4 linked regions of the Tamandua tetradactyla genome follow. The protein of the gene in region 4 interacts with the protein of the main gene of each other region in a pairwise test. Links are inferred from orthologs where the notes say so. Each region holds a gene or a part of one and is shown on either strand. Other genes may lie near its edges.

Region 1 (7,268 bases), on a different chromosome or scaffold from region 4:
AGCGGGGTCTTGGACACCTCTAGAGCGTCTGCTCCGGCTCTCTCACCTGCGGCTGGAACGATCGCGCGCCCCAGGACGGGCCAGGCTCTGCAGACAGCGGGCCCGGTAGCCCTCGTAGAGCAGATCGTGCGTCACCTCCTTCAGGTCCTGCAGGTGTGTCTGCACCAGCATCCGTCTCAGGTTTAGGAAATCGCAGTGATGTGGGTTTTCCACTGGGGGGCGGACCAGCCAGCGTCAGGGTGCTTCGGGTCCAGCTCCACCAGCAAGGGCCAGTCTTCCGGGAGTCCTGCTGCCGCCCTGGGTGGGTACTGCCTGAGTCCCAGGATCCCCACTTCTGATTCCTAGGACCCCTGGGGCCAGAGCCCACCTCCAGCTTTGCATGGTGGGTGCAGCTGACTTGGTGGCAGCCTGGGCTCCCTACTAGCCTGAGAACAGGGGCGAGCCTTACTCACCCTCCACGGTACCCCAGGAGTAGCGGCGTCCCCTCACAGGCCGGGTCCCCCCATCCCTCACCACTTCGCATGAACCGACCACTGCGAAGGGGATGCTTCCCTAAAGGTCAGAGGTCAGGGGTCACCATTGGCTCCTGAGACAAGGGGGTGGGGTGGAGGGGGACCTCTCAGCCTCCACTTCCACATCCGCCCCCTCTGCCTCTAGCACCTTCATCTCGGCATCCTGCCTCTTGAAGTCTTCATCCTCATCGGAGTCACAGTCGGGGAACTGGTAGATGTTGATCTCCTCCTCCTTCAGCTGGTCCCGGATCTTGGAGGAGACAGGGATGCAGAGACAGTGAGACACAGAGAGTCAGATACAGAGCATGAGAGACAGACAAAATATGGCCAGCGATATGACAGACAGGGAGTCTGGGTGGTCAGAGGCAGACCAAAAGACATGAAAGAGAGACGGCTAGCGATGGACACACAGGATGACCAAAAACAAAACTTCAGAGACGATGAGGGGCTGAGACACAAATAGTGAAGACTGAGACCTGGAAAGATTCTAAGACAGGGCATACCCCTAAGACACCAGGAGAGAAGGACAAACATAAACAGTGGGTAAGAGCTCTGAAGACACTGAGGAGTGGGGTGGTCATCAGCATCTCGGGGCCAGGGTAGGTCAGGGGTCATGGTGGTGTGCCCCTGCCCTTGGACAGGCCTTCTCCCAGGAGCTGCATATCCATCCTTTTCTGAGCCTCCAGAGACAAAGCATCCCTCAGTTTTCCCCACCGTTTAGCCTGACACGCCATGCACCAAAAAGGCCAAGATGAACAAAGTCATAGCTGAGATCAGGTTTGGGTGTGACCTTTGCCTTCACCTAGGGTCACAGATCAGAGGTCACCATCACACCTTCTGCTTGAGGGCCTGGGCTTCCTTAGGCATCAGGGCATCTGCTTTGCCAATGACTGGGATGATGTTGACCTTCTCGTGCACAGCCCGGAGGAAAGCCACATCTAGGGGCCGGAGCCTGCACCCGGGGGGTTGGGGAGGAATCAGCCCAAGGGTGTGGAGACCCGCCCACCCCCTCTGCAAATGCCCCATCTCCCAAGGTGTCCTCCACACCCCCGACCGAACGGTGAGATGAAGTAGAGGCAGCAGTGGACCCGGGAATCCTGGATGTTTTTCCGGTTCAAGCCGCTCTCATCCCTAAGGTACTGCTCAAATTGCTCCTCAATGAAGCGCACCACGGGCAGCCAGCTGGGGTGTGGGAAGAGGGCATGGGGTCAGAGGTCACAGGGCGGGGCAGGGGCAAGGCTAGCCAGGACTGTGGGAGTGGCAGATCATTTCTTTGGCTTCAACCAAAGGCATGAGGGGAAGGTGGCAGGGGCGCAGGTGAGACGCGGAGAAGCACCTACTAGCCACAGCACACACTTTGAGCCAGGTGGCTGCCGGAAACAGGCACTATCTCTTGGGTAGAGCAGACCAGCCCTGTAACTGAGCGGGCCACTGAGGGGCTCAGCTCCTGCCCCTCCCCTCCTCCTCACCAATCTGAGCAGTCGACTGAGTCCCCAAAGCCAGGTGTGTCCACCAAGGTCAGCTTCACCTTGATACCCCCCTCCTCAATCTCCACACCCCGGCGCTCGATGGTCAGTGTCTGTGTCAAGCGATCTGTGGGAACACGGAAGAGGTCCAGGAGCCTGGTAGGGGTCTGAGACAGGACTAATGGCCTTTCTCCGCATCACTGTCCGCCCCCACTCATTTTTCAGGGGAGGAAACCGAGTCCCAGAGGAAAGCAGTGAGCTGCTTGAGTCATCCAGATCCAGAAAGCCCTGGGAAACCCAGATGGCAAAGAAAAGAGGACAGCTTGGGGACACAGGAGGAGGGCCAAGGGCAGTGCCTGGAGAGGACAGAGTGGCGGGGGGGCCTTACCGCTGGCAGCTGGCAGCTGCCGATCCTCATAGAGGTTGGTGAGAAATAGGCTGTTGATGAGAGTGGATTTCCCCAAGCCTGACTCCCCTGTGGACAGGACAGGCCCAACTGCTCAGGTGAGGGGACAGCCAGGGTCTCTAGAACCTCCCCCCACCCCCACCCCCACCCCCCACCAATTTCCTAAGTCCCAGACCTGCCACCATAAGCGTGAAGTCAAACCCCTTCTTGACGGACTTGCGGTGCAGCTGGTTGGGAAGGGCGGCGAAACCCACATACTCCTTGTCCTGGTGGGGGCAGTACAATGTGAGGCTATTGGGAGTAGCAGGCAGGGCTCCCGGTATCACTTATGCTCAGGGGCTAGGACAGATCAGCCTACTGTGGGGTGACCCGGGCCTCGGAACCATGGGTGTAGGGGGCCAGGGGCATCAGGACTCACCATGGCCTTGCTAGCTGTTGCTGCACCTGCTGTCGCTTCCCACTTCCTCTGGTGGGGCAGGAAATTGAGGGCGGCAAACAAGGGGGCGGGCAGTGCAGAAAGCTGAGATACTGAAACTCGCCCAGGCCCAAAGAGGTGGGGAAAGCCAAGACCAAGGATACCTGGGGTCCCTATCTCCTGGATCCCTTTGTCCATGACCCCTAGAATCAGCTTCTCTGCACACTTTTATTGCAAGCCCCACTATGGCCCTATCACCCTGGTGGGAGATGGGGGGTAGACAAAAAAGGAAGGAAGCAGACTGCTTTCTCTCCAGGGGAGATGAAAGCTTTGACAAGATGGTTACCAAAAAAAAAAAAAAAAAAAAAAAAAAAGCTCCCAAGGTCTGAGTAGACCAGGAGTCCTAGGTAACAGATTTGGGATGGGAGGAGCCATCAATTTTCCTTGCCAACTCATGCAATAGATTCTTAAAGGGAATCCAGGTCTTTCAACACCACCACCAGAGAGAACTTCCTTCAGAATCCTGGCCTGGGCATTCCCCTGCTCTACCTCCTGAGGGAGCTCTCTATGACCTTACAATCAAGTCTGAGTTCTGACCTGGCAATCTAAGCTTCCTCCATCTGGTCTCATCTCTCACTCTCCCCCAAATCCTTGTTCTGCCCACACTGAGTGTTTCCTGCTGCACTGAATGAACCCCTGTTCATCCTTCGACGGTTGATTCCTCCTCTTTGAAATCTTCCACAGCCATGCCAGGCTGATTATCCCCCCTCCTCTGGACTCCCCAGCACCCTTCAAAGACTCCCCCTAGGCCTGTCTTTGCTTACCTGATTGTCTCCTCTCCTGCTCCCAGCTGAGCTCTCTGACGACAGGGGCCAGGTCTTCCAAATTTCCATATCCCCCATGTCTCACCCAGGACTCGCCCCAAAGAAGGTATCAGTAAATAATATCCTAGATGAATGAGTGCATGAAAGGAGGAATGAATGAAGTTAGCTGGGGCCAAAGGGTGGGGGGGCTGCAGAACTTGTATTAGGAGCCTTACTTTGGAGTCAGAACTTCCCATATCCTAGCTATAACCACTCACTGTGTGACCTAGGGCAAGCCATTTGGTCTCTCTGAACCCTAGTTTCCTCACAGTAAAATGGAAAACACACATCTCAGCTTTGTTATCAGAACTCATGGAGAGTGGCTGCGTACATGGGCTTTGGCGTTAATTAGTTATATATACAAACCTTGGCTTTAGCGTGAGCTGGGTGAACTTGGACATGTAAATTAACTTCACTGAGCCTTTAAAGTTAGTCTCTTCCCCACGGACTACAAGACCCTGCTTGATCCGATCCTGGTTCCCTCTCCAACCCCATTTTCTTTCCTTTTCCTTTTGGTTTTATTTATTATTTCCCTTTTAGCCCCATAGCACATGCCTCCCCTACCCCCATCCCAAGGTAACCACTTTAATGTGTTTAATGTGCTTTTTTTAGTTTGTATGTGGCTTAAAAAATGTGTAATGTGTTTTGAGGGTACAGTTTAAGGTACATAAACAGCCCATATTTACACATGGAAATGTGTATCATTCTGTTTGTTAACTAACATCCATCCATATGGCCACATATATTTTTTATCCATACTTCAACTGCATTTCCCATGGAAACTTGGGAAAGTCACCCCTCTGGGCCTTACTTTCTGTGTGATCATGGAAGTAAAAACTCCTGCCACACCCAACACACAGGTTGGGCAAAGATCCTGTGATTCTAGAGATCGATAGTAATTAGGAGCTGTGTGCCCTAGGCATCTTAAGTTAACCTCTCTGTTGACTCGGTTTCTTCATCTGTTAAATGGCACCACTAATAATTCCTTCCTTGCAGGGTCATGATGGGGAATGTGTGGGCTAATACACACAAAGCTCTGTACATTAAGTACAATGCTTGGCATCTAAGTTGAGCTCATGCAAAAATGTTAATTACTATATTACATGAACTGAGGAGGGTATATACAGCCAACTGCTCAAATCTCCTGACTGTCCTTCTGGATTAGTTGCTGCTGACCTAGATGGAGTGAATCTGTGAGGATCGTGGCTCTCTGGGGAAATGGAGACAGCCACAAGGAAGTGTCACACACAGCCTGTCTGCTAAAAGTGTCAGGAATAAAAAGTGTACTTGGAGTTAAGCCAAAGGGAGGAGTTATTTGTACCCCTCCCCACTGCAGGGCAGCCTTTACTCCTGCATTTCCCATCAGGCTGAACAGATCTATGGTCTTAACTAAAACCCTGGGCTCTTCCCTCCCCCTCTCTCCACAAGCATAGCCGAGTGGTTTCCAAGGCCTGCCTGTTAAATCAGGAAAAGATGGTCCCCTTCTCTCAATACCCTCTACCTCCTTGGTTCTGTCCTGGATTCAGACACTGATAAACTCTTCTCTGAGTTATTTCAACAGCCTTTAAGAAAATAACATGTATATTCATTTATTGCTAACACATAGTCATCATCGAAAAATTAGAAATGGAGCTGAATCAGGAAAAAAAATCTAATATTGTTATCTTGATATAACCCCATTTTGGTGTTTATCCTTCTGGATTCTTCCTATATCTATTATATATATGTACACATTTAAATCGAGAAAAATAGGATCACACTGTAACTTTGTTTGGAAACCTGCTTTTATTATTTAATATGTTCTGCACATCTCTCTACAATAATGAATACACATGCTACATTATTATCTTTACACATGTTTAGTATTTAGGTTGGGTTCTCATTTTTTCCCATGATGGTCAATGCTGAGCTGGAAGGAACGTGTTTGTGGCACTACCTTAGTACACTTATCCAAAAATTTATTTGGATTTAATTTCTGTAAGGGGAATTACTGAGTCAAAGGAGGTCACATATTTAAGGCATTTGAATATTAACAAGTTGCCCTGCAGAAAACGTTCTTGGCTGGTCTGGTCACTGTGTTTTGTTAAGTGTGGAGCTGTATGGATTAACAATGATGTAGTATTCCATTTACATGTTTAACTACTGTTTTTTCTTTTGCATGGGCAGGCACTGGAATCGAACCCGGGTCTCTGGCATGGCAGGCAGGACTCTGCCACTGAGCCACCATGGCCCACCCTCCATTTACATGTTTATTAATGCCAGCAAATTAAACCCAATCATTCCTGTGTTGAGACTCGGGGTCTGTTTCCTTGGAGAAAGGAAAGTTCCACGTTCAGCTTCATATGGAGCAGTATGGGGTGGATGCTTCCCTTCCCATAAGCTATGTATCTGGTTTAGTTCTTTTTCATCTCATCATCATGTGTCACAGATGTCTTCATAGGTCCCTTTGTCCCCACCAGGCATATCTAGAGTAGCTTCTGTCTTTAGACCAGAGGACAGGTTTTCAGGCCTACTCACTCCAAGTGTTGTCTTCTTAAAGTAAGAATTGGCTCTGAAAATGAGTTAAGTATGATGCATGGCCTGGCTGCCTGTGGGAAAGGCCCCTCCACCGGGGGGCTGGCTCCTTGCCAATTGATACCCTCTTACCTCTTTTGCTCAGCAACAAGTGCTTGGCACAGGGTAGATGCTCAGGAAAGGTTTGTGGAGCAAATGAACAAAGTTACAATTCGATCTTTAGCTTCCATTACTTTGCTATTACATTCATTCATGGCACCTTAAAACAGGCCTATTCTCTATTTTTCTTTCTGAGGACAGGTATTGATCATATAAAAAACTCAAGCTTCTAGCCTTAGTAGGTTTTCAGTTAAAGTGTGGACCCCTGTTTATTTCATTCCCTCTACCTGGAGTTCTGCATTCAGCCCTCACTCCAGCCAGGCTCTGGACTGTGCTGAAATTTTAACCATCCTGAAAGGCCCAGTTCAAATGCTACCTTCTCCTTCCTTGGTTACTCAGCCAAAATAGTTGCAGCTGATACTTTTTTGCTAAGAGTTTCATACATATTAATCCACAACCATTCTAATTAGGAATTAGCCTCATTTTATAGTTCAGGAAACAGAGGCTTAAGTAACTTCATTAAGGTCAAACAGTACTAAGTGACAAGGCCAGGAATTAAGCTATGTGAAAGGCCTTAAAGAGTACCAGGCCACCAAACTCTACAGAAGGTACCTCTCTCTGCACCACACTTTCGTATCTTGTCCATACGACCAATATACAAGCTGTTACTTCGACTGCATATCTCCCTATCTCACTGGGCTGAGAGCACCCTGAGGAGTTCCTTTGTATTTCCAGGGTCTAGCAGTGTCTAGCTATTGGTTGGTGATCAGTATGTGTTGATTGACTTGTGGTCCCTATTTCTGTTAGCATCTAACATTCATGCACACTAATTCCCAGGGAAATAACACTTCCTGCTCTCCTATACCCTCTTGAAAGGGTCCCTATAACTGCGTCAAGTACTTCCAGTTCTCTATTTTAATTATTTGAGTGTTGCCCCTTTAAACTGCCAGCAACCCATGGATAAACTTGTATTTCCTCGTTTTATCCCAAACT
Region 2 (7,832 bases), on a different chromosome or scaffold from region 4:
AAGCTCTCCTGCAGACGGGCCTGCTGGTCAACCAGTTGATGCTGCAGGCTCCGGATCCATTGGAGCAAGGCCAGGCGACGGTACATCACCAAATGCACATGGTGCTTTTCCTTCTCCTGCTCTTTGTAGCGCTCCTGGGCCTGAAGCTGCTGCACTGCATGGGCCACTGAAGGCAGAAGAGGATCTGGAGGGCCAGGGCCTCGAGGAGTCCCACAGACTGGCTCAGGGCTGCTGCTAGGGCTGTCAATGCTCAAGGAGCTGCTGGCATAGCCGTTGTCCTCCAGTGGGGAACAGACTGTGCTGCCACCAACTATCTTCTCAAGCTCAGCCCTGGGGATCTCTGCCCCTTCTGGAGGACTACGGATCTCCTCCTCGAGGTCCTGGAAGGCCTTGTTGTCAGAGGGTGACTCAGGGGAACTCCCCATCAGGATGGGTTCCACTTTGCCTGGCATCCCATGCCAGTTTTCATTGGCATCTCTGACATTTGCCACGAAGTTGGAGTTGCTGTCTGGTTGGAAGTCAGGCTGACATACCCCAGGAGGTGGGCCCCCCAGGAGCTGGCCCCCCTCAGCTAGCCCTGGTTGAATGGCAAACATCTGGTCTGTAAGGGGGAAGCAGAGGAATGAGTCACAGCAAGACGGGGTGGGATGACTGAAGTCATGCTACTGCAGCTGCCAAGACAAAGTGGCAAACATGAGGCTGGCTGCTCTTAGTCCCTCTCCTTTGACCCTGATAATAGCCCCACTTCATGGTTTTTCTCCTCCCTCTCTGAATCTTCCTTCTCAGTCTCCAGTACAGGGTTCTTCTCTGCCCATCCTTTAAATGGGCAGCCTTTTAAAGCAGGTTTTCCTCAGCCTTCCAAAGCAGGTTTTCTTCTCTTCTAACTGCATTCTCCCCAGATGACCTCATCCTCTGCTGTAGCTTCAAACCATCCATATGTCTCCAGTCCAGTTACAGCTGCTATCTAACTGTCAAAGACACCCCTTAACCTAGAATTTGGCTCTCCAAATTCTACTCATCCAAACCAGCCCTCTTTTCAGTGTCCTCAGCAAAATGGCTCCACTACCCATTCAGTCACCCCAGTCAGAATCCTGGAGCAACCTGGACCCCTCACTCTCCGTCCTGCCCCCATTGAATTGGCCACACAATTCTCATGATTCTTCCTCTTTAAAAACCTTCGTGTGTGTGTGTGTGTGTGTGTGTGTGTGTGTGTGTGTGAGTATGTGTATGTATCTCCTCACAATTTCATTTGGTTCAGGCCATTTCTTCCTAGGATTACTGACACAGACTTTTCACTGATCTCTCTGCCTCCAGTTAAACATATAAATTTGAATGATCACTGCAGCTGCGCCCTCACTAAACTCTTGCTAAACCTCTCTACATGGCCAAGAAGACCCTGCTTGATCCACCTTCTGCTCACCTCTCCAGACATGCCTCTTGCCACTCTGGCCCTCCCCCAACAAACTACCCAGAGATTTCAGAACACACCATATTTTTTTCAAGCAATTTGCTTGGCCTACAATGCCCATATTCTCCTCTTCCCTCTAAGCTTTCTCCTTCTCCACCCAGCACATTCCTTCACCTACTTCAAAACTCAATTCCAATTATCTTCACCTCTCTGAAGACTCCCCTGATACCACCCTCCCACTCATCCACCCCCACAGTTAATTATGCCTTCTTCTGGGTTCCCACTGCCCTGGGTACACACTGTACTATCCATGTTTGCTTCCTGTTGCTGGCACATAGTTGAAAATCAATAAATGTTTATGTAACTGTTTTTTCAACTATCTTGTAATGGTACCTTGTAAATCTGGATCCCCAAGGAGCTGCTTGCTCCTTGATGTTCTCCATCACATCCCCAGGACCCAGCACAGAGTCTAGCACTTAGCAAATTGGTCAATCCATGCTTGCTGAGTGAATGAATAGGGGAGCAGGGACTCCCCTGGGAGTTCCCTGCCCAGGATGATGGTGGCAGGAGTCTACTGCTGACTACCCAGGACTAGAAGAGCTGGCTTCAGTTCCCACCTCTGCTCCAGGGTGCCCCCCCCAATCCCCCCATTGACAAACTTCTCCTCTGAGCTCACCCACTTCCCTTCCAGTTCCCCTGGAACATGACTACATCTTGTGTCCCTGCCTCTGGTTTGCTCTATCCACAGGCCCTGGAGAGTGGCCATGCCACATCACTTTTCCTTTTCCAATAACTGATTTTTACCCAAATTAGGGTTTGAATTGACAAGCGATTTCTTCTGATCACTTACTACTGGGATTAGAGAGACTGACGATTATCACTAAGAGTGCGGGATACTATATGCACAACAGGTACTAGAGGTGGACAGGGTCCCTCCCCACATCCAGTAGCCAGGACAAGTCCTGAGTAATGATCCCTTTGTAACCTGCATCCCCTCCTCACCATCCCCCACCCCCACCCACCACATATACATCCCTTTACGAAAGGCTCGCTGGAAGGTGCCTGGAAATCTTTCCTTGTGCAAAATTTTTATTTTTCCTAGGTTTGGGCCATAAAGCAGGCTAGGATGAGTGAGGGTGGCGCTAAGGATCACGTTTTATCAGAGATGGCAAAATTGGAGCCCAGATACCCCAGGATCAGGCCTCTCCCTGAACTAATCCGCAATCTGCCCGGGATGGGGGTGGGGACTCTGTAAGGATGGGGGCGCCCAGGGGGCCTCCCTTCCTGCTTGGCCTTACCAGAGAGGGACACTCCCGCCAACACACAGGATAGAGACCACCGTTCCCTAACCTCTACAGAAGAGGCAGCTGGGCGGAGGCTTCAACTCCCCCTCTCCCGCGGCTGGGCCGCAATCCCTCCCCCTCTGGGCCCCAACTCACAGCCGAGAGGAGCCCGCCCCGGCGCGGCGGGTTCTGGTTCCACCCCGGCCACCTACGGGAACCCACTCGGGCCGAGGGGTGGGGGTGTCTTTCGGCCTGGGCGTCCACGTGGGCTAGGGCGAGGGGCGCGGGGCGCGAGTTGCGGGGCGGCGCGGCCAGCCCCAGGCCCAGACTGCGGAGTGGGGCGGCGTCAGCGCGGCGGGGCGGGGCGGCCGGGTCCACGTGGGCCGGTTCGGCTTTCCGCTGAGCGGCGCCTCTGCGCAGTGGGCCGGAACCGCAGCCCCCCACCCTTCGGCTGTCTTTCCCCGACCGCCCAGGTCTGGTTTATCTCCTAAGGGCTTTCACTGCACCGCTTCGCCTCACTGCGGACACAGTGATATTTTCAAAATGAAAGTCTGATCCTGTCACCACCCCTGCGGTTTGGAACAGTTCAGTGGCTTCGCGCTGCAGGGAAAATCCTTAAGGCAACAGCCTCAGGGCCCTCGGCGCGTTCTGCGGGCTACCTACCTCTCCAGTTACGTTTTAAGAGGAGAGAGGAAAAATCCACCTTGGGAAAGGGCTGGGGATAAGGTCCGGCCCCCGAAGTGGGGTGTCAGGCTAGGAGACAAGGGAAGATGAGAGGAATTTCCACTCCAGGAAATAGGATAGGCATATAAGGGTTCTTCATTACGAAGAAAGAGGTGGGTAGGATCGAAGCGTTTTCACCTCAAAGGTCATGCCACTTCCCACCCACGCATTCGCATTCAGCCCACGGTTTAGAGAGCTTACTTTGTGCCAGTTATTGCCACGGTAATTTAGAGCAGAATCAGACCTGGTTGTGGCCTTGGGGAGCTTTCAGCTTGGAAAGGGTTACAGACTCAGAAAAGTGGGGTGTGCGATGTGATGGGTCCTGCCACCGAGCTAGGAGGCAAATGCAATGAGTGCAAAGGAGGGTAAAGAAAGGCTTCACACAGAGGTGTTATTTGAGGCAGGCCTGGAAGAATGAGTCTGCTCACTACAGAAAGGGGAGAAGGTGAGAGGATGCATATTTAGTGTATTTAGGGAACAGGAGGCTGGTGTGGGGAAAATGGAGGTAGGAAACAACGCTGAAGGGTAAACTGGACCAGTTGTGCAGGGAATTTGGGTTTCATCCTGTGGGCTGCAGGAAGATAACTGAGGATGTACTCAAAGTGCCACATCAGAACCAAGTCCTGGAGTACAAGCTACATTGCTAACTGGTTTCTTCTCTTTTCCCGAGCTCATATTATCTGTTAGCTTTCTCACATGGTTTTGGGAACTTAGGCAAGTCATTTTAACCCTTTAGGATTAAATAAAAAAGAATATGCCCAGAAATGGTTAAATACTTACAGTTGTACTTGTTGTTTCTCAGGCTCCCCAAGATCAGACACAGCCCAGGGGTCCCTTTGATATGCAAGAGAACCCTTAAGGCAGATTAGAAGGAAAGTCATTTGGCTTGCTCATCTCAGGAAAAAAAGGCCTAGGAAGCTGGTGACCTAGTTGTTTCTTTCCTCCATTTCCCCACTGCCTCTTAAAGGTCAAGTGCACTTAGTCCACCTAGGAATGACAGTGTGATCACATCCATTCCCCCACACCCGATATGGCTGGGTTTTTTTTTCTCAGTTGCTAAATGAGGAGGAGGTACCTCAAAACAGAGGGTTTTTTTTTCTTTTTTTCTTCTTATATGTATTTTTTATTTTATTTTTTTAAAGACCAAAAAAACACCAAATGCAAACATTCCTATTTTGATCATTCCATTCTACATACATAATCAGTAATTCACAATATCATCACATAGTTGCATATTCATCATCATGATCATTTCTTGGAACATTTACATCTATTCAGAAAAAGAAATAAAACGAAAACAGAAAAAATATTTATACATACCATACCCTTACCCCTCCCTTTCATTGATCACTAGCATTTCAAAGTAAATTTATTTTAACATTTGTTCCCCCTATTATTTATTTTTATTCCATATGTTCTACTCATCTGTTGACAAGGTAGATAAAAGGAGCATCAGACACAAGGTTTTCACAATCACACAGTCACATTGTGAAAGCTATATCATTATACAATCATCATCAAGAAACATGGCTACTGGAACACAGCTCTACATTTTCGGGCAGTTCCCTCCGGCCTCTCCGTTACATCTTGACTAACAAGGTGATATCTACTTAAAGCGTACAAATAACCTCCAGGATAACCTCTCCACTCTGTTTGGACTCTCTCAGCCATTGACATTTTGTCTCATTTCACTCTTCCCCCTTTTGGTCTAGAAGGTCTTCTCAAGCCCTTGATGCTGAGTCTCAGCTCATTCTAGGATTTCTGTCCCACATCGCCAGGAAGGGCCACACCTTTGTTTTAAAACTTTCTTCTTTTGAAGGCTTGGAATCTTTCCCCTCCCCACCCACCCAAGGAAAATCATTGCAATACACCCAATTTGAGATTTCCTCTCTTCCCCTGAACCTCTCCATCCTAAATGGCTGCTGAGGGGCCTCTGAGGAAGCTTTTAAAGCTCCTCAGAGCTTTAAAAATGGCAATTTCAAATACATTGCATTAGATGAACCTAGGAGATAAATTCTCCCCTCCTAAGGGATAAAGGAGAAACAGGGTGTTTGGATTTGCTGGAAGAATGAGAGTGTAGACTTTCTCCCACAGCAAAACATGGTAAATGCCCTCTTGACCCACTCTTCCAAGGCCCTGAGGTAGATGGCATTCCAGAGCCTATAACAGAGGGAGAGGGCTGGGTGGAGGAGCTGAACGAAAGGAGAAATGAGAGAAGGGGATGCCTGTTCCACCCCCTTCCTAGCAGCTGCCTCCATGGGCTCCATAATCCTCATGCCCTCCGGCCGCCCACCTCTCCTCCACCCACCCCATTCATCATCAGTAGGAGGGCACAGCATCAGGACAGTCTTTCAGGGCTTGACAGGTCCTTTCTGGGTGCCCCCCACATGTAACCACTTAACCCTCAACACAAAGGGCCAGGCTGAATGGGCTTGGAGCCGGTGGCTCGTGCGGAGGGGGAGGCCCCAATAGGATTTGGGGAGCTGGGTGTATAAACAGCTCTGCTCTAGCAGTCTTCAATGGAGGAGCTGCAGTCGGGGCATGTGCCGAGAGGAGGAGCCCGGCAGCTGCATCCCGCCCCTGAACAATGATTTATTCATTCTCCTGGCATGCATAGAGAAGATGGGCTGGGGGAACGCGGCCCCACAAATGGCCCTCAGCCTCAGCTGATTCTCCAGGCACTCACCGCTGTTCAAAGCGCCCCCTCCCATTTGTAAAGCTTGCCCTTACTCTTCTCCAAGGAAGTAGAGTGCATTATAGGAGGCCTTTAGTAGCTGAAATTCAGACAGTCACGGCTCTTTGAATTGGCTGCACCCAATCTCAAACTTTGAAAGCTTTCTGCTCAGATTTTTGTTCAAACCCATTTCACACCCTGAGAAACTGATGCAGAAAAAGAAAAAAGAAAAAAAAAAGGACAAATAGCATAGCAGGTTTGAGGACTGCCTCAAGAAGGAAGGGCTGTGAAAGAAGCAGGGAGTTAGAAATAATCGACAGGTAATGGAAATTCACTAGAGGCCTGCTGGATGCTAATGGCTGCTAACATAAGGTACTGTCCTTGTCCTCCTGTCCCCACTCCTCTTCCCAGACCGTCTCTTTACCTACATTTTGTTTCCAATCTCCAGAAGAATCTTTGGGAGAACTTTGGGGACTAGGGGATAGAATGAAGTCAAGCAAACAAAGATATTAAGACTAGCAGATAAACAATCTCAGGTGGGTGGTGTTTTCAAGAAGCTAAATTGTGACAAGAATAAATTTGCTCTTGTCCTCCCACCTCCATACCTCATCTCACTGGGGCTGGATCGCACACACAAAAATAATAAATAAAACTAAAAATCAATAATGTTAGTGGAACAGGGAGAGCCAAATTGAAGTGACCATCCTCAGACTGGCCCCTGGGCCTCCTGGCACCAAGCTTATAATTACCTTGTCACACAGAAAACAAATCTATTGTGGGTGGTAATCTTGAGAGGTGGGAGATGTTGGGCGAGGAGGTTGCCCAGCTGGGGAGGGGGATGGAGTTGTAGTAAGAAGACTGATTGGCCTTTCACGGCTGGGGAGCAGGGAGGGGGGGATCCTGGAAAAACCAAGGTCTAGACAGTTTTAGAAAGTTTTCTTCCCTTAGACAGGAAAGTAGACACACCAAGGGATGGCTCCTACCTAAAGCTCTTGGTGGGGAGGGGCGTGTCGTAGGGCAAAGGCTCAAAGCCCACTCCTCTGAGCCTCTGCGGGCAGGTTACTAGGCTGCTGCTGCCCTCTGGTGGGCATAAAGAGTCAGCAACAACACCTCTGGAGAAAAACTAAGCGTACAACTTGGTGACTTGGTCGTTTCCTGTCCTAAAACCTTGCTGCCAGGACTAGCCCACTTGCAGGCTGGGTTCCGCTGAGACATTTTGGCGTGCAGGACGTTTCTTAGGACTGTTCTTGAGATCAACATCTGTGCAAGGTAGGGGAAGGAAGGAATGGGTAAATGAAGAAGTGGAGCTACAATGTAGGCAGTGACAGCCACAGCCCACCCCACAAGGAGCCCTGAAGCTGGAAGGGCCCTTCAGAGTTGTCCCAAGAAGAGTCAAGATGATCAGGCCTTTATACTCCTGCAGGTACTGGACGTGAACTGTGCTGGAAAGGGACAGGACCTTGGGCCAGGGGCTCTCTGCTGCTGAGGCAATCCTTGAAGGAGCTGACCACTGCAGGCTGTCAGTCTGAAGACAGCACTCACAGCAGCTGGGCCAACAGGTTTTCATGGAAGGGGGATGGGGTGATGCCTTCAGTATCCACAGTGTCCACCTCACACACCAGATACTCCTTGCAGGTGTGTTAAAAGAAAGGGTTAAATCACGCCTTGGGCTCCAGGCTCCGTGGGAGAGATCACAAGCCTCAGTGCCTTGGGTGTACACAGACCCTCAGAAATGGGATTCATG
Region 3 (7,703 bases), on a different chromosome or scaffold from region 4:
TGATTATGGGGAACTGCTTTCTAAAATCTGAAAAACTCTGAATTTCAAAGCATATCTGGCCCCAAGGGTTTTGGTTAGTGGGTTGTGGACCTAAATCAGGGATTCCTTAGATTAGGAATTTTCCTCCAAAAATGTAAACTCTTCAGGAAGAGTAAGGACTGCCAGTCATTCACAAAGTAGTAAATAGATGTCCCACTGCCTTACTCCTAAACTTAGCTAATATCAGCTGCATGGAGAAAAGAGGATAGTGACCTAAAAGGTTCTGAAACATGTGCCATTTGGGGGAAGAGAGCCTGGCCAGAGAAAAGAAAAGCACCACAAGACCTAGAGACCTAAGGGAAAAGAAAGGGAGTAAAAAATAAGAGCACAGCAAACCTCTGCCTAATTTAAGATTCAAACCAGGGCCCAAAAATGAGAACAGAAACTCTTCCTCTTCTCACGTGTCCTACAAGCTCTGTTTCAGAACCCAGGATTGAGGAGCCTGCTATTAGCAAATTGCTACTTTAAACAACATGCTAAATAAAAAATTTTGTAGGTCAGGCTGGTAATCTAACCACATTGTTTTTATGGGAAAACGTATTTCACATCTCAATCAACTTGTAAATAATCTTTGTAAATACACCTCTTTTCTAAGTTTGAAAGCACTATTCCCCAGCAAGACAACACCTTTCCTGAAATTACTCCACACGGAGAAAAACCTCCAAGCCAGATCAGCCCCTATTCCCAGGAGAAAGCAACCTTGCAGGAATCATTGCTACAAAATACTGATGCAACACACACAAGTCACCAGAACACATAATCCCAAATCAAAGAAACAAGTTTTCAAACACAGGACTGTGATAAATGAGATCAGACCCACAATCTCTCTAGCTCAAATTCTGTTTCTGAGAGGCACATTTAGGTCCCCTTTGACCCCACAGTATAAGACAGCAACTTCCAGAGTTTTAGAGATATTCCTTAAAAATCACAAACAGTATAAGGTATCTTCATCTAACATTTGGGAAATGGTCTACAAGATTAACCTGTACCACGTTTGAAAAGGGTAACGGCAGCCAACATTTGTTGACTACCCACTATATGCCTGGGTTTGCCCACATCATCTTATTGCACACAAACTGCCACTCTATGAAGAAGGTATAGTCACTCTAACTTAAGAGAAAAGAAAACTGATGCTCACAGAGGCCATGACTTGTCAGCCTGTCTGTGTGACTCTGAAGTTCTCTTCACCATTACACTATCTACTTTTTTCCACTTGTTCCAAAACATGCTGTTTCCCAACTTCAAAGAAGGACCACCTCCAGAGTCCTCGACCTTTCCAGCCCTAGACAACCCCCGTGAGCTTTCATCTCCTTCAGCGCACAGTTCTCTCCCTACCCTATCCTCCTCCATGCCTCTTTAGAGACTCATTAATCTCACTGATAATTTTGGTTGTCTTCTATTTCCTAATATCTTTACCAGAATTTCTCAGGGTAGAAGCACAAAAGTTTGCATAAAAGGAAATAAATTCTAGTTTTGAATACCCTAACGGACCATACTTGGCTCTTTGTTAATCTATTTGCGGTGGGGGAAAATATCTCTTCTTCTAATCTTTAAAATTTCTCCCTTCTGAGACCCTCCCAAGGATTAGAAAATGTGAGACAGGGTAAAAGGATTATTAGAATGCTTTCAAAACATTGGTTGTGAGATATATTGTTAAATGAGTGCAGATTTTCTGTTTGAAAAAGTTGGAGTAATGGACATTAGTGATAGCACACTACTGCGAATAGAATTAATACAATTGAATTGTACACTTGAAAGTGGTTAAAAGGGAAATTTTGAGTTGTATATTTGTTACTACAATAAAAAGTAAAGAAACAACAAAAAGCATTAGCTGTGTTTGGCCTAATCTATTTCCTTCTCCATCAGAAGTTTAAAAATTATCTGCAGTCAGTCCTTCTTTAGTTCAAGGGGATCAGCAAATAGTCTTCCCCTTCTTCAGAGCCTCCACCCTGGATTTCCAATCATTTGAGATGAACTAAAAAAAGGCCACAGTGTAAATAAAAGTTACAGGCAATGATGCCAAGGAGACTCCATCTCCTTGCACAACCAGCTTTAAATTAATGGTTTAGATACCAAGGGCAGTTTCTCTCAATAAATTCTCAGCTATTGAAACTCCAGAGTCTGCCCTGCAAGACGCGGAAGTGGCTGGTTAAGGGGGGGCCAGGCAAGCCTACCAAGCACCCCCCCCCCCCAGGAGCCAGGGTCTAATAAAGAAGACATCCCCCAGAATCACCCCTACCCCCCATCCCTGGCAGCTTTGCCACCACGTCAAGGGCTCGGCACGCAGGGCCCAGATGTGAAAAAGGCCTCCCCTTCTAGTCACGGCGCTGCCCACCGAGCTCTCGGGCAGCCCGGGCTTCCTAAGTCCTGTGATGCGCCCCCCAAACACCACCCGACTCCTCCCTTCGCAGCCTCGGGTTCTTGGCCTCTTTCCCATGGTTCTCCCACCACCGCGCTCTCCGGGTTCCTCAACTCTTGTCCCTTCCTCCTCGGGGCCCATCAGCTTTGCCCATCGAACTCTCACAACTCCAGACTTTCCCCATCCTGAGCCCCCCACACCACACCCCTTCCCCGCCCTCACGCCTGACATCGCCCCCGCGCCCCCAGCCCACCTGAGCCAGGCTGAGTCCTACCTGGCGGCGGTTGCCGCTCACCCTCAGCCATCTTCCTCCCGCCAAGAGCTAGTCCGGACGCCTCCAGTCTCCTCTCACCCTTCCCTGCACCCACCCTTCCTATCCCCGACTCCACCCCAGACTCAGAGCTTTCTGAAGAGAAATGAGCACCAGTCAGCTATAACCGAAAACCGAGAATTAAAGTCACCCCAGCGGAGACAACCGCCATGTTGGTGCGGGGCACCCAGGGAGCATGCCCACCAACGGCCGGCTTGAGGGTATCGAGCTTATTGGGGAGAGCTGCAGCCATGTTGGTGCGGGGCACCTGCGGCGCATGCGCAGCAACGGCTAGCTCGCCAACCTACCAGCTAACCGACCGCCGGGTAATAGGGAGGGGGCGGAGGGGGAGTGCGCTGTGGCAGCCATACTTTTGCGGGGCCGTCGCGTTTAATTGGTGCGGCAGACATGTTTTTGTGGGGCAGCACCCCACCTGTCATCTTTGTGCGTGGCTCCCCACCTGTCATCTTTGCGCGTGACACTGACCCTATCTGAGGAACGTTAGAGGACATTCCCGTCAGCATGGTTAGTGTTTTCTTGCCACTGTAAGAGTAACGCTCAAGGATACCAAACGGATTGGGAGAAGCGCACGCAGCTGCCTCCAACAGCTTAGTCTAGAAAAGCGCAGACGCTATTTGGAGGTGGGGGAGAGCTGGACAGTACCCTCATCTTCAGCCTTATTCCTGGGTCCCACGGCTTCTCGGGGACTCCCAACCCCTAACCGTCCCCCTTTTCCCCGCCCCTGGGGCTGGGCCGGGTCGCGAGCTGTGGCCCCGCACTTGAGCTCGCGGCTAGCCGCCCTAGGTCCACGGCCTGCCTGAGGCCCCGCCCCGTGAGTCTTCCCTCCCTTGGGCCGCCTGCCTGCCCGCCCGCCCGCCCGACCCGGTGGATGGGCGCAGGGCGGCCTCTCCTGGCTGGCGGCGGTGACTCGGCGACCTTGGTCCAGCGGCCGCAGCTGGGCCCTAGCGGTCGCGGACTTTGCCCAGCGTGAGGTCGGAGCGGACTGTTTGTCCGCCTACGGGCAGCAACGATGTTGGCTTTCGCTGCCAGGACCATGGTGAGTGTGGCCGGGATCTCAGGCTGGCGGGCCCTGGATGGGACAGGGGGGCCGGGCAGGCTTCTTAGTTGCGCCGGAATGGGGAAATGTGCCGCGGAAGCCAGAAGGTGTAGAGCAGCCAATATCCCGCCCAGCCTCTCTAGTGGAGTGGGGTCGGCATGTGGGCTTCCCCTGTTTGGCAGAGAAGACTGAGGTACAAGGGCAGGAGTGGTATCGAACCCACATCCTGTAACTCTAAATTCCCACGACCCGGAAACGACAGTAGGACCCTGGCTTTCGCCAGACCTCCGATCCTTAGACCTGAAGTCAAGTGGGGAGAGAGGCTAGAAGTGTCAAGCCGGGCACACACACTCATACTTAATTCTCAGACTCACAACTCCCATCCACATGCTCAGGCCTACTGTCTCTGCCCAGGGCAGAGCCACTTCTCCAACCTTCTTGGTCAGCCTTCTTGGGTTTTCAAATGGTCCTTGGGGAATGTATGTGACCAGAGAAATTCGTGGGGAGGCATCAAGCTACACTGCTGAGGAAGTCCTCAGAACTGTCCCAAGGTGGCAGGTGGCAGTCCCATGCCCCTCCCCCATTCTCTCCCACCTGTCCATATCTATTCCCCAATCATCCCCAGAGGGCTACCTGGCGCAAGTGGTGCCGCTTACCTGATTTGGCTTCCTTTCTGTTCTGGTCCAGGCATCTCTGCTCGTATCTCTGCCTGTATATTTAAACAGATACCACCAGCCCCAGAGAGCTTAGGGAACCTGTCTGCTGGCTGAAAGGCTAAGATTTAGGGGTTCTTTGGGGCCTCCCAAGACCCTGAAGTTCCTCTTCATCCTTGCTATTGCCACCTGGACTGTACCCCTATTGCAAGACAGCTTGCTGGTCATCCTCCAGGACCACACAGCTGACCTGATCATTTTCTGCTAAGGAAATGATCCTAACTGAGGCAAGGAAGGCCTTGGTCAGAGTTCCCTGGGTCTGGTTACTAAAATCTAGTCCAATTCCAAAACCAGCATCCTTTTGATTTATATTTAATGCCAAAAAGTCCTCCACTCTTCTTCCACAGCTACATGAGCTGTGGCTGAAGAAAAGCAAGGCTCTGATAGAGGGATGGCCCAGAAGGACCCTTAGAGTCCTAGAGGGAAATGGGAGTTGGGCATGGTTCTTCGCAACCTCTGTTCCATCCATGACCACCCAGGGCTGCTCCCTTGCATCATCCCCAATTTCGGGGCTAATTTTAGGGCTGTGGTGTAACCTCAGCAGCCACATAGTTTCTGCCCTCTAGCCAAGTTTTCCCTCATCAAACAGACCTACGCAGATTCCAACAGGTGGATTTTTTTTTTAATGCTTTTGGCCTGCCTCCCTGGTACTGAGCCCATCCAGAGAAGAAACAAGAAAAATTTCCAGGTTTCCTCCTCCAGCTATTCCCATTCTCCTACTTCTGGGAGCTTAGGAGGATGGAACAGCTTCTGGAGGTCCAGCAGTTTCAACTCCCTGCCAATACCACAACCCCCATGCCACCACTGCCACCATAGCTACCTCATCTGCCACATCTGCCTCCTGCCCCTCCCTCCCACCCCTGAATCTTGGCTCTTGTCTTCTCTTTCCAGCCCAGGCAGGTGGCTGCCTCTTGCTAGGTTCTGCTCACCCACTCGATAGCACAGTTAGGCTTAGAGATCCGGCCAAGGCAGACAGACAGGGCTCAGAACCTCAGTCCTGCCATGGAGGACGGGCAGCAGGGAAAGAAGGTATGGAACTTAGCCTCTGCTGTTTGCCTGCACACTGCTGCAAGCAGCCTCCAACCCTTTTGTCTCTCTTTCTACTCACTTCTAAAGTCTGCTGTATACCCTCTTTCTCTCTGCCACTTCTCACTCTCCATGCCATGCTGCTCAGCTCTTTCTTGCCCTGACATTGTCCCCATACTTCCCTTCCTCCTGTGCCCAAGCAGGAAAAGACCTGAGGTTCTGTGGCTCTCTCACTTTCTCTTCTTCCCTCCTATTTCTCAATCTGGGAAGGGTGGGAGAAGAGGAGGGCGGGGCATTCGGGTGGGAGCAGTCACCTCACTGCTGGCTGGTTCATCATGTGAGCGTGAAAAAGGTGGGGCCCTGTGCATCAAGGCCAGTGGGAGGTCTCCCTTACCACTGGTACCCCTGAGTTGGTTCCCCCGAGCTCTGCCGAGATCGATGGCCATACCCTACTCTCCCTGACCCCTTTCTTCATCCAGGCCCCTGAAGTGGGGACACCCATAGCCTGAGGGCTGGGAGGCCAGGGTGGCACAGCACCGCCCAAGAGGCCGTCTCTGACCCAGATGGACACATAAATGCCCAGGATTATGGGTTTAGGATTGCCAGGGCCTCCTTGCTAGCCCCAGCAGGAGAATGAGTAGGTTATTCTGCTGCCTGCAGGTGAAGCCCCTGGGCTTGCTTAAGCCCACCTCCTTGACGAAGGTTTCCGGCCGCTTCAAGGCTCACCAGGATGCACTGCCCCGACTGCCTGTACCCCCACTCCAGCAAACCCTGGACCATTACCTCAAGGCGCTGCAACCCATCGTGAGCGAAGAGGAATGGGCCCAAACCAAGCAGCTGGTGGATGAGTTTCGGACGGCGGGAGGTGTCGGGGACCGCCTACAGAAGGGGTTAGAGCGCAGGGCCAGAAAGACAGAGAATTGGGTAAGTGAGACCCTTCCCACCCCACCTTTCATGGGGATAGGTGATTGAGTGCTATCTCGGAGGCTCTGGATCCTTCTAAGCATCCCTCACTGTGGTGTGTTGACCACACATGGCTAAATTTTGAATACTAGGTTGCTTTGGTGTATTTGTCCACAGAAATTCTTTTTTTTTTTTTAACGTTTTTTTATTGTGAAATATATACAAAAAAGCAATAAATTTCAACGTGCATTTTAACAAGTAGTTATGGAACAGATTTCACGGTTTGGTATGGGTTACAGTCCCGCAATTTCAGGTTTTTCCTTGTAGTGCCTCCAAGACCCTGGAGACTGACAGAAATGTCAATATATTGATTCAGCAGTCATACTCATTTGTTAAATTCTATCTTCTCCCACAGAGTTTCTTGAACACTTACTCTGTGCCTGGCCCTAGGTAGGATGCTGGGTGAGCAGGAAGGACACAGTCACTGGCTGCTGCTTCAAACTTACATTCAAGTGTTGGGGGGAGAGAGAGGTGATAAACAGATAGCATATGATAAACAGATGGGGTACTTACAGTCAGCCAAGGTCTACAGAAATAAAAAAGGATAATGGGAAAGAGCATGGGGGGTGAGGAATGGCAGCTTTTTATCTTGAGTGGACAGGGAGGGTGGGGAGTAGTGGCATTGGTTCTGATACCTGAGAGTCTGAGACAGGGAATAGCACAGGCAAGGGGGAAACAGCCTGGCATGTTCCGGGACCAGAGTGAGGGTTGGTGGGGCTGGAGCGGAGTGTGTGGGCCGGGGAGGCCAAGGTATAAGGTATGAGAATTTGTGCCACAACAGGCTGGGGAACTGCCTGAAGGCTTAAAGTGGGGAATGCGCAGCTGGTTACACAGGTGTGTTCAACCTGTGAAAATGTATCTATACTTATGCTGCATGTGCTTCTGTTTGCATCTTATACTGAAACATCAGATTCAAAATGAATCACTCAGGTATTGGGAGTAAAGCGAGAGGAGTTGCTGAAGGCCTGTGGGAAGACAGGCACATCCCCCGGAGGGAGATCCTGGCAGTGTGGACCAAGGGCTTTGGCAGGGAAAGGTTAGAAAGCCATTAGATCTGGGATGGATCCTGGAGGCAGCAACAACAGCACTTGCTGTTGGGATGAGAGGTCCTGACCTAGAGCAACTATGGTAGGGACGGTGGGGAAGGATTTGCTGAATTGGGGATGGCTGAGGGAGAAGCAAAATTGTGGAAAGAATCAGAGTTGGGTTTTGGCCCTGTGAAGTATGAGGTGAGAT
Region 4 (7,440 bases):
TAATTAACTTGTCAAACGGATCTCCAAATTCACTGGGTCCATGGGGAAAAGAGGTGATATAATAATAGATTTGAGAACTTTCTTCCATTTACCATCCAAAAAGGCTCAGACACAATCACATACACCTTTTTCTACCCCTTTCAGTGGGTTTAAGCTAGGCTTAATGGTGCAAAGGACAATTTCTTCCAGACAGTCCCTAAGAATAGGCTGTTCTCATACATTCCAAAACTTCAGTCTCCATGGAGGAAGCTACCTGGCCACAAGCTTCTCCCAAGAAGGAATATATCCTTTACTCTTCCTCATTGGCACCCATTTCCAAAACAAAACAAAATAACTTCCAATCATCCTGAGAACTTCAGGGGACATTTTGTGTGTGCGGGGGGGGGGGGGGATAGGAAAAAAACTCAAGAGGGGAAGCAGGAGAGTGTGAGAAACTCCTCTTGTCTCCAAATAGGAAAAAAAGGCTTATAAAGCTGGATCAAAGGAAGAAAGGGGGGGAGGTGGGGTAGAAGGGTTGCTTAATTACAAAGACACCCTTTTAAAGAAGGCACAGGCCCTGGGAGAGGGTTCTTGTGAGAGCCCCAGAAGCAGATGTACCCACTTAGAATTCTGGCACTCAGTGGGACCTCAAGGTCATAGCTTCCATCCCTCTGCCTTCTGATTAGACTTTTCTCAAAGCATTCTAGAAGGAGTCTGATTTATTCTTTACTCAACTCCAGAAAAGCAATTCCACAAAACTCTTTGATTATGTATTAGTCTAATATACCCTACTTTATAAACCAGAAATGAGATTTTAGTTTCCAAATCCAAATCAGCATTAATATGAAGAAAAAATTCGCTTTTCTCAAGTCTTTTAAATAGGTAAACAGACCCACAATTTTTGCATGAAAGCTATTACATACACACTGTGGTCAGAAGTTTACTTCATATCTAAACTATGAAGTTAGGAAAAGTATTTTCAATTTTACAGAGCCACAAACTTTTCCAAAGAGAGCCACGAACTTCTCCAAAGAAAGAGGCATCTTAAAATGAAGCCTGATGCATTGCCAGAAAATGTCTGTAAATGACACCGGATAAACCCATACAGAATAGCTGGAATCTGAGTTATCATCTGTAAATAGATGCAACTACTCTACAGCCACCTGGCTATTAAAATGTCCCAGGCCAGTTATAAAATGTAGTTTGGTCAAGCCAGCTCTTCCCTCCCAGCTGATCTGAAACATGATATCCTTTAAAATTGTTGCCTTGTAATGTTTCTTCTTTCCTTCCCTGCTTTCCTTCCCACCATTAAAATCAAGCAAAGAAATTATTTAAAAGCGTAAGTAATTTGTATCCAAATAAGTAATGGATCAGGGATCGCTCATAATAGGTCTTTGAACACAACCATTCTTATAAGTTTGCTACCCTTGCCAAACTGGTAATAGATGGGAGATTGGGGGAGCTGTACCTCATGTCTAAAATGGTATTTCAAACTATGCTTAGTTACTAAATGAGGGTGCTGAGAGGTCTAACTGAGAAGGTTTCACAAAGACTGGCATGAGAAAGAACTTTTCACAAAGCCTAGCTCAAGGAGACTTAAATACCCTTAGCTCTCCACCATTGAAGATTATGGTCACTAATCATCTTCCTCTCTGATGTTAGAAAAGGGTTAAATTCATAAAAGTTGCTCCCCAACTTCCATCCTTCTTGGAGAAAGTGGGGTGGGAGGGGAAAGAAATCCCCTGGGTTGTTGGAAAATTATTTTTTTAGATTCATAATATAATAGAGATTGGAAATGCTTTTTCTCACTAACTTTCCCTTTCCTCACACATTTAATTGCATCTACTCCCTTGCTGCAAATTATCATTATATCATTAGTGATAATTTACGAAGAACTGCTCACAATCTACAAAGACTGCCGCTTTCCCTCCCACTTTTCCTACTCTTTATTTTCACCTATTGACGAAATCCGTATTACTATTGAAGCACCAACGCAGAGTGGCTCGGGTTTGGGACCCTACAGATATCTGCACGGTCCCGCAAAACTAGTTACTAACATCTTTGGACCTTACAAACTAGATAAGTAGCAACCTCTGACACCCCACCCCCTACGCAAATGCACATGTACACCAAAGTGTATCGTGGTAGATTACTCCCAGACTTTAAAACTTCAAAATTTATGGCACCCTGGAAGAGGGGAGTGTAAGAGCCCCAAACCCTACCCTAAGCACTTAGGAAACCTGCATCAATTGATTTAAGTGCGGACAATAGTGCTGGGCTAAATGGAGATCTCCTGTCTTTAGTTTCTCGCATGATTAATTACCTAGAGACCTACAAGGACCCCAGGAGGCAACGGGGTTAAAACTACCATTAAGTAGTGGTACCCACTAGCATCTCCTCACCAAAGGAGGGCCCGAAAAGGAACGCACACTCTTGAAGTGATTTAACTTGTAGCACATTCCGGAAAACTCACCGACAACTGCAAAGAAAAGTAGAACGAACGGGCATCTCCACACGCATCTAGACAGACTTACTCACGCCGAGGGCAGGACCAAGTTCATGCCACCATGAATTCCTGCCCCAGCTCCCCGTGAAAAGTAACCACACGTCTCCTACCCCCGAAGGCAACGAAGACAAGGTGTCGGCTCTCAGCTCACTCAGATAGATGGCTTTGGCCCTGGCCGACGGCCAAGGATGGGCAGGGGGAGGAATCCCCAACTCCTGGCTGCTCCCCTTCTCGTCACTCCGTCCGTGCGTTCCTTGGTGGCAATGGACAGACAGGATACCGGGCCGGAGGGTGGAGCAGCGGATGGTCGGAGGCGACAGAGACTCGAAGTGGGGGTGGGGGTAGAACTAGAAGAGGAGACGAAAGAGAGCGGGGATGGAGGAATAATTCAGGGGGTCTACCAGCTTGGGCAGCCAGAAAGCTCTTCGGAAGGAAGGGGCGTGACTGCTATGAAGGCAGCTCCCGGGCAAAGGATGGGAGGTAGAGGAGTGGGACGAATGGGTGGCTTTTCTTCTTGCAGTAAGCGGCTAGGACCGCCCAGGAGCGGAGGGTGGGGGTAGACTTAGGAGGGAGGCGGAGTAGAGGGCGGGGAAAGAAGGGCGGGAGTCTGCCTGGACCTCGGGGCGGGGGAGGGGGCGCAGAAGGGAGGCGGGGCAGGGGGCGGGGAAGTTTGAAACAATTGAACGGCGGTGTCCAGAACCTCCGGCAAAAGCCGGTGCCCTCGTTCTCGCCCTCTTACTAACATAGCACGACTCGGTTCCGGTAGCCCAAAAGTCTACACAAGGAGTGGCTGGGAGGAAGGAAGGGGTTCTGTAAAGACTACAGTAATCTACGGTAACAGCGGAGCAGAGTCGCGTGGGAGAGCCAGTGCAGCTCCCCGCCCCACAGCGGGAGGAAGAAAAACAAATAGAAATGCTGAAAAGCGACTTCTATCAGAGCCTGCTTAAAATAATAAAGGAAGGCGCAGCGCTCCTCCGATTTCCTTCCCCTCTTGCTTCCTATTACCACAGTCCCCCACCCAGGTCACAGCTCTATGAGACACCCTCCTTTCTTCCTCTGTTTCTCTTAGCCTTCCCCTTCCTCCTCCCATTCGCGTCTCTGCCTGGCTCTCCATGGCAAGCTGCGCAGGCAGCCGGGGTGGGGTAGGTGGGGCGCCGTGGAGCCTCCGCCTCTTGGGCGGGCTGTGAAGGCTGGCCTGGGCGGAGCGTCCCGGAAGAGTAAATCCCACCCGACGATTCTTTTGCAGTTTGCAGTTGGGGAGTCCTGGCCTAAGGTACGCCTCCTATTGGTTACTGGAGCCGTCAATCGAATTCTTTTGCCCCACCCATCCTCAAAATTAATAAAACTAGACAAGAACCTATTGTCTTGCTCGCTAATCTCCCCCAGCTACTGCTGGGAAGAGAAAGATGAGACGCTTGATTTCTCAGTCTGGTAAGAGTGCGACAGTGTGTCGACTGATTCGGGTACACCTCTGTGGCACTCACTGTTCATTCCTCGGAATAGATAACTTTCCTCCCTCAATTCATTAGGCGAGAAGGAGGAAAAAGTACGCGAAGTATCAATATGTTCACATTTTCTGGCTGCAAAAACGATGGTATTGCTTAAAAACACGGGCAATTGAGAATAGCAGGCTGGGACACTTGAAAGTCTCCCATTTTACAGCTGGGAAAATAAAGCATAAAAGAACAGCATAAGGGTGACAGAGGAATATGGGTTTTGGAACCAACGTAATAATCATTTCGGTCTCCGGCGATTATTAGCTAGTTGTACGACTTTTCTTAAGGCGCTTAGCTTCTCTGAGTCTTAATTTTCCCATCTTGTAAATAAAGTCTATAAAATATGCTCTATTAACTTAATGGTATTGGTATGAAAATAAAATGAAATGAGTGTGAAAAATCTGTAGACTACCAAGCACTCCACAAAGGTATGTGGCAGAGTCTCACGTGTTTGGAAAACAAATATTCTGCTCATGTTTTTAAAGCATTTATGTCCAAGGTATGTAGGATTTGTGGCTTTGTTTTAAAAAACGACTCTTCCTAAAGTTCTGGAGGTGGGTATGGGTTGGCTCCCTGCAATTAGAATAATAAGTTTCCCTTTTTCTAACAAGTGTGGGTGAGATTTCTTTTTTAAACAGTTCTGCAGTGGCGCCACGACCTAAATCTAATGTGGTGCTCGTACTGAAAGAGGAAATCATGCTGTGTATCTCTGAAGCGAACTTGAGAAAACAAATATGAGAGAACATTTACCATGGAAACCACATTCTGTACAGATCTATATTTGCTAGAAAATGTAACAAGTAGGAAGCAAGTCTAAAAGTAAAGGCTTTGACAATGGAGAGCTAGTATAATGAACTCATGCAAATGAAAGAGTTACATCCAATTCAAGTTTGGCTAATAGGAGTCTTCTTAGGAGACATAGATCAAGGCCATGCAATAGGAAGTGTGTTTAAAGGAAGCATTATCTCACTGTGAACAGAATCTCAATATAATTCTGGTTGCGGGAAAAGTTATGGGCAGGTAGCACATCATCAAAAGCATTGAGTGGCCTCGGTATACAGAGTACTCTGCTAGGGGCTGCCAAAAGATTCAGAAATAAGAGTATGGGTATGATTGCTTCAATTTACATATGAGGCGAGGTTATTTAGGTGATTTTTCATGGGGAAGATGAATTTTTGTGCATTAAAGACATGGAGAAACCTGGTTTTATGAATCAAGGGAATATTATTCCAGCCTTGTTATTTGGAGGCATGGGCAGGAGAGCTATGAAGAGTGCGTATATGCTGGAGAACTACCACTGATCAGAATTGTAATATGCTACTTGTTAAAATTAACATTGCTGTTAAAATGCAGAAGGTAAAATATGTACATGGTAAAATTAAAATCAAACAAACTGAAAGAAGTACGGTGAAAAGTTGCCTCTTTATTACTCCAGTTCCAGAGTCCCCTTACACTCTATAACGGTATGTAATCTTCAAAATATATTATTTGCATATCCATGCAACATGGGTACATATGTGAACACACCTTGCCCTTCTTTACTCAAGTATGTATCTTAAATATCTTTTCATATTAGGACAATTACTTCTATCTAATTATTTTTCATGATTAGTTCAGTAATCCATTGCATAGATATACCAAAATTACTTTAATCAGCCCCCTGTTGAGTTGTAATTTAGGTCTTTCCCATCTTTTGTCATTGCAGATGATGCCAGAAAAAAAATTCTTGGTAGCATGGATCTGGCAGCTGTGTTTTAATATGCCTGGCAAGAGTCTTGACATTGTCCTCAAAAGATTGTCCAATCTGTCTTCTCCACAGCTACCAGGGCCTTCATAAGGTTGGAACCCCTCAAACACCTAACTACTTCCACACCCCCTCCTCCAATCCTGCCATGGGCATTACTGTTCTTCTACAACTTTTAATTTTTTGATGGAATATAATTAGCAGAGCTCTGAGCTTAATGGGGAATCAGGCCATGTATGAGTCACCTCTTAGCCTGTGGCAAAAAGCAGGTTTATTGGTACCTCTGATTTACCCAGGTCTTTCAAGCATCTTAGGTGTTCCTTCTGTCTTGCCACACAGGACTTTCTCTTTGTTTTTACCCTGAAAACCCTTCAGTTTGTTTAAACTGTTTGAATTTAAAGCCATGCATTGCTTGCACTGCTTAAAGTGGGGGTTGGGGGGCGGAGGTGGGAGGCCAACATCAACAAACATTGATTGAGCTGCTATTATGGACAAGACTGGAAAAACAAAGAAGTATGAGACTTGGCTCCTGCCTTCAAGGATATATACATGAAAAGATAACTAACAGGCGTATGCTAAGTGCTAAATGAATGGTATTGACAGTAAAAGCTGTGGAAGTTGAGAGAAGGGAGAGAAAACTAGTTTCAGGGAGTGAGTTTATATAGCAAACCATGCCACACACATTTGACTAATCCCCAAGGCATCCCCTGACTTCAAATCCTGACTATAAAATATGGAAAAACCCGCTGGGGAATACCAGGAGAATTAGCCACTGACTTTGAAGCACCTGTGTAAAGATACTGGGTTTCCTAAGTGTTGCACATTAAAATCTCCATATATTGATATGGAAAAAAGGAAGATCTTTTAAGCTATAAATCAAGAGTCTCCACCTGAAACTACGTGCCCTATTTGGCTTTTTCCCCCTTAAAAAGCAACTTGTCTTTAAAGTGCAATAAAAATCAACATATGCACTTTGTTGGCAATATTTTTGCCCAATGTACAGGAAAAGTAGGAAGGAGAACACAGCTTATAGTCCCAACCTCTGGCTACGTTCTTCTTTAAGGCAAAATCATAAGATTTAGCTGATTGACACTCTCCCCCACCTACCAAGCCTACTGGGAGTGTAGTGTAGAATGAGCAATTTTTCTCTAATTGCCTGGTGAACAACTAAATCATTTAGATGCATCTGAAAAAAAAAGAAAAAAAAAAAACAAAGGCAAGTACATTCATTAGCGAAAATTCTCAGGATGTATGTCTTAACATAACACCCCCCCCCGCCCCCACGAAAATGCTGTTCATATATGTTAGACACACATTGAAAAAGTCGCCTGTTTATTTATGACACCTGCTCTGCAAATGCAAAATCCAGCAGATCCGAAAATTGCAGTTTCATTTGAACAGGAAAAGAACAGAGACACATATATAATGTAAGAATGCAGCTAAATGCTTTTCTTTTGAATACCTTTCCTCCCCTCTTCCATTCTTTCCCAATACATAAACACACACACACATACATACACACCATACACACACTTGGTCCAGACACAGGAAGTTTGAAGCATGATCCATGTGTGGAAACCAGCAATGTGGAAATTCAGGAAACAACACCAGAACTGTACTCCAAGGCCAAGACCTGTTCCAGCATTTTGGAGCCAAGTTACTCCTGGGGTACTTGCAGGCTCCAACATTTTGGAAGTAAATTGGCCATAGAAAAA

Evidence for each region.
Region 1: the proteins of AMOT (region 4) and SEPTIN1 interact in binary tests that used the Homo sapiens proteins (3 or more experiments, as listed by UniProt). The two-hybrid records come from large-scale screens. The link is inferred for Tamandua tetradactyla from reciprocal best matches to the Homo sapiens genes AMOT and SEPTIN1.
Region 2: the proteins of AMOT (region 4) and C2H1orf216 interact in binary tests that used the Homo sapiens proteins (3 or more experiments, as listed by UniProt). The two-hybrid records come from large-scale screens. The link is inferred for Tamandua tetradactyla from reciprocal best matches to the Homo sapiens genes AMOT and C1orf216.
Region 3: the proteins of AMOT (region 4) and PTPA interact in binary tests that used the Homo sapiens proteins (3 or more experiments, as listed by UniProt). The two-hybrid records come from large-scale screens. The link is inferred for Tamandua tetradactyla from reciprocal best matches to the Homo sapiens genes AMOT and PTPA.

Annotation. Positions count from the first base shown.
Region 1 is NC_135349.1:24,180,322-24,187,589, reverse strand, and holds the start of SEPTIN1 (septin-1), read right to left. Parts: upstream 3,013-7,268; 5' UTR 2,998-3,012; coding exon 2,803-2,997; intron 2,651-2,802; coding exon 2,560-2,650; intron 2,454-2,559; coding exon 2,367-2,453; intron 2,106-2,366; coding exon 1,982-2,105; intron 1,695-1,981; coding exon 1,560-1,694; intron 1,465-1,559; coding exon 1,347-1,464; intron 763-1,346; coding exon 661-762; intron 553-660; coding exon 453-552; intron 213-452; coding exon 47-212; intron 1-46. UniProt on the Homo sapiens protein: Filament-forming cytoskeletal GTPase. May play a role in cytokinesis.
Region 2 is NC_135328.1:189,652,483-189,660,314, reverse strand, and holds the start of C2H1orf216 (UPF0500 protein C1orf216 homolog), read right to left. Parts: upstream 3,008-7,832; 5' UTR 2,848-3,007; intron 2,814-2,847; exon of another isoform or gene 2,707-2,813; intron 602-2,706; 5' UTR 597-601; coding exon 1-596.
Region 3 is NC_135328.1:52,002,775-52,010,477, reverse strand, and holds the start of PTPA (serine/threonine-protein phosphatase 2A activator), read right to left. Parts: upstream 3,007-7,703; 5' UTR 2,962-3,006; coding exon of another isoform or gene 2,913-2,961; 5' UTR 2,704-2,912; coding exon 2,652-2,703; intron 1-2,651. Other genes in the region: CRAT (carnitine O-acetyltransferase), read left to right, coding at 5,481-5,507, 6,165-6,428. UniProt on the Homo sapiens protein: PPIases accelerate the folding of proteins. It catalyzes the cis-trans isomerization of proline imidic peptide bonds in oligopeptides. Acts as a regulatory subunit for serine/threonine-protein phosphatase 2A (PP2A).
Region 4 is NC_135353.1:56,980,345-56,987,784, reverse strand, and holds the start of AMOT (angiomotin), read right to left. Parts: upstream 3,003-7,440; 5' UTR 2,453-3,002; intron 1-2,452.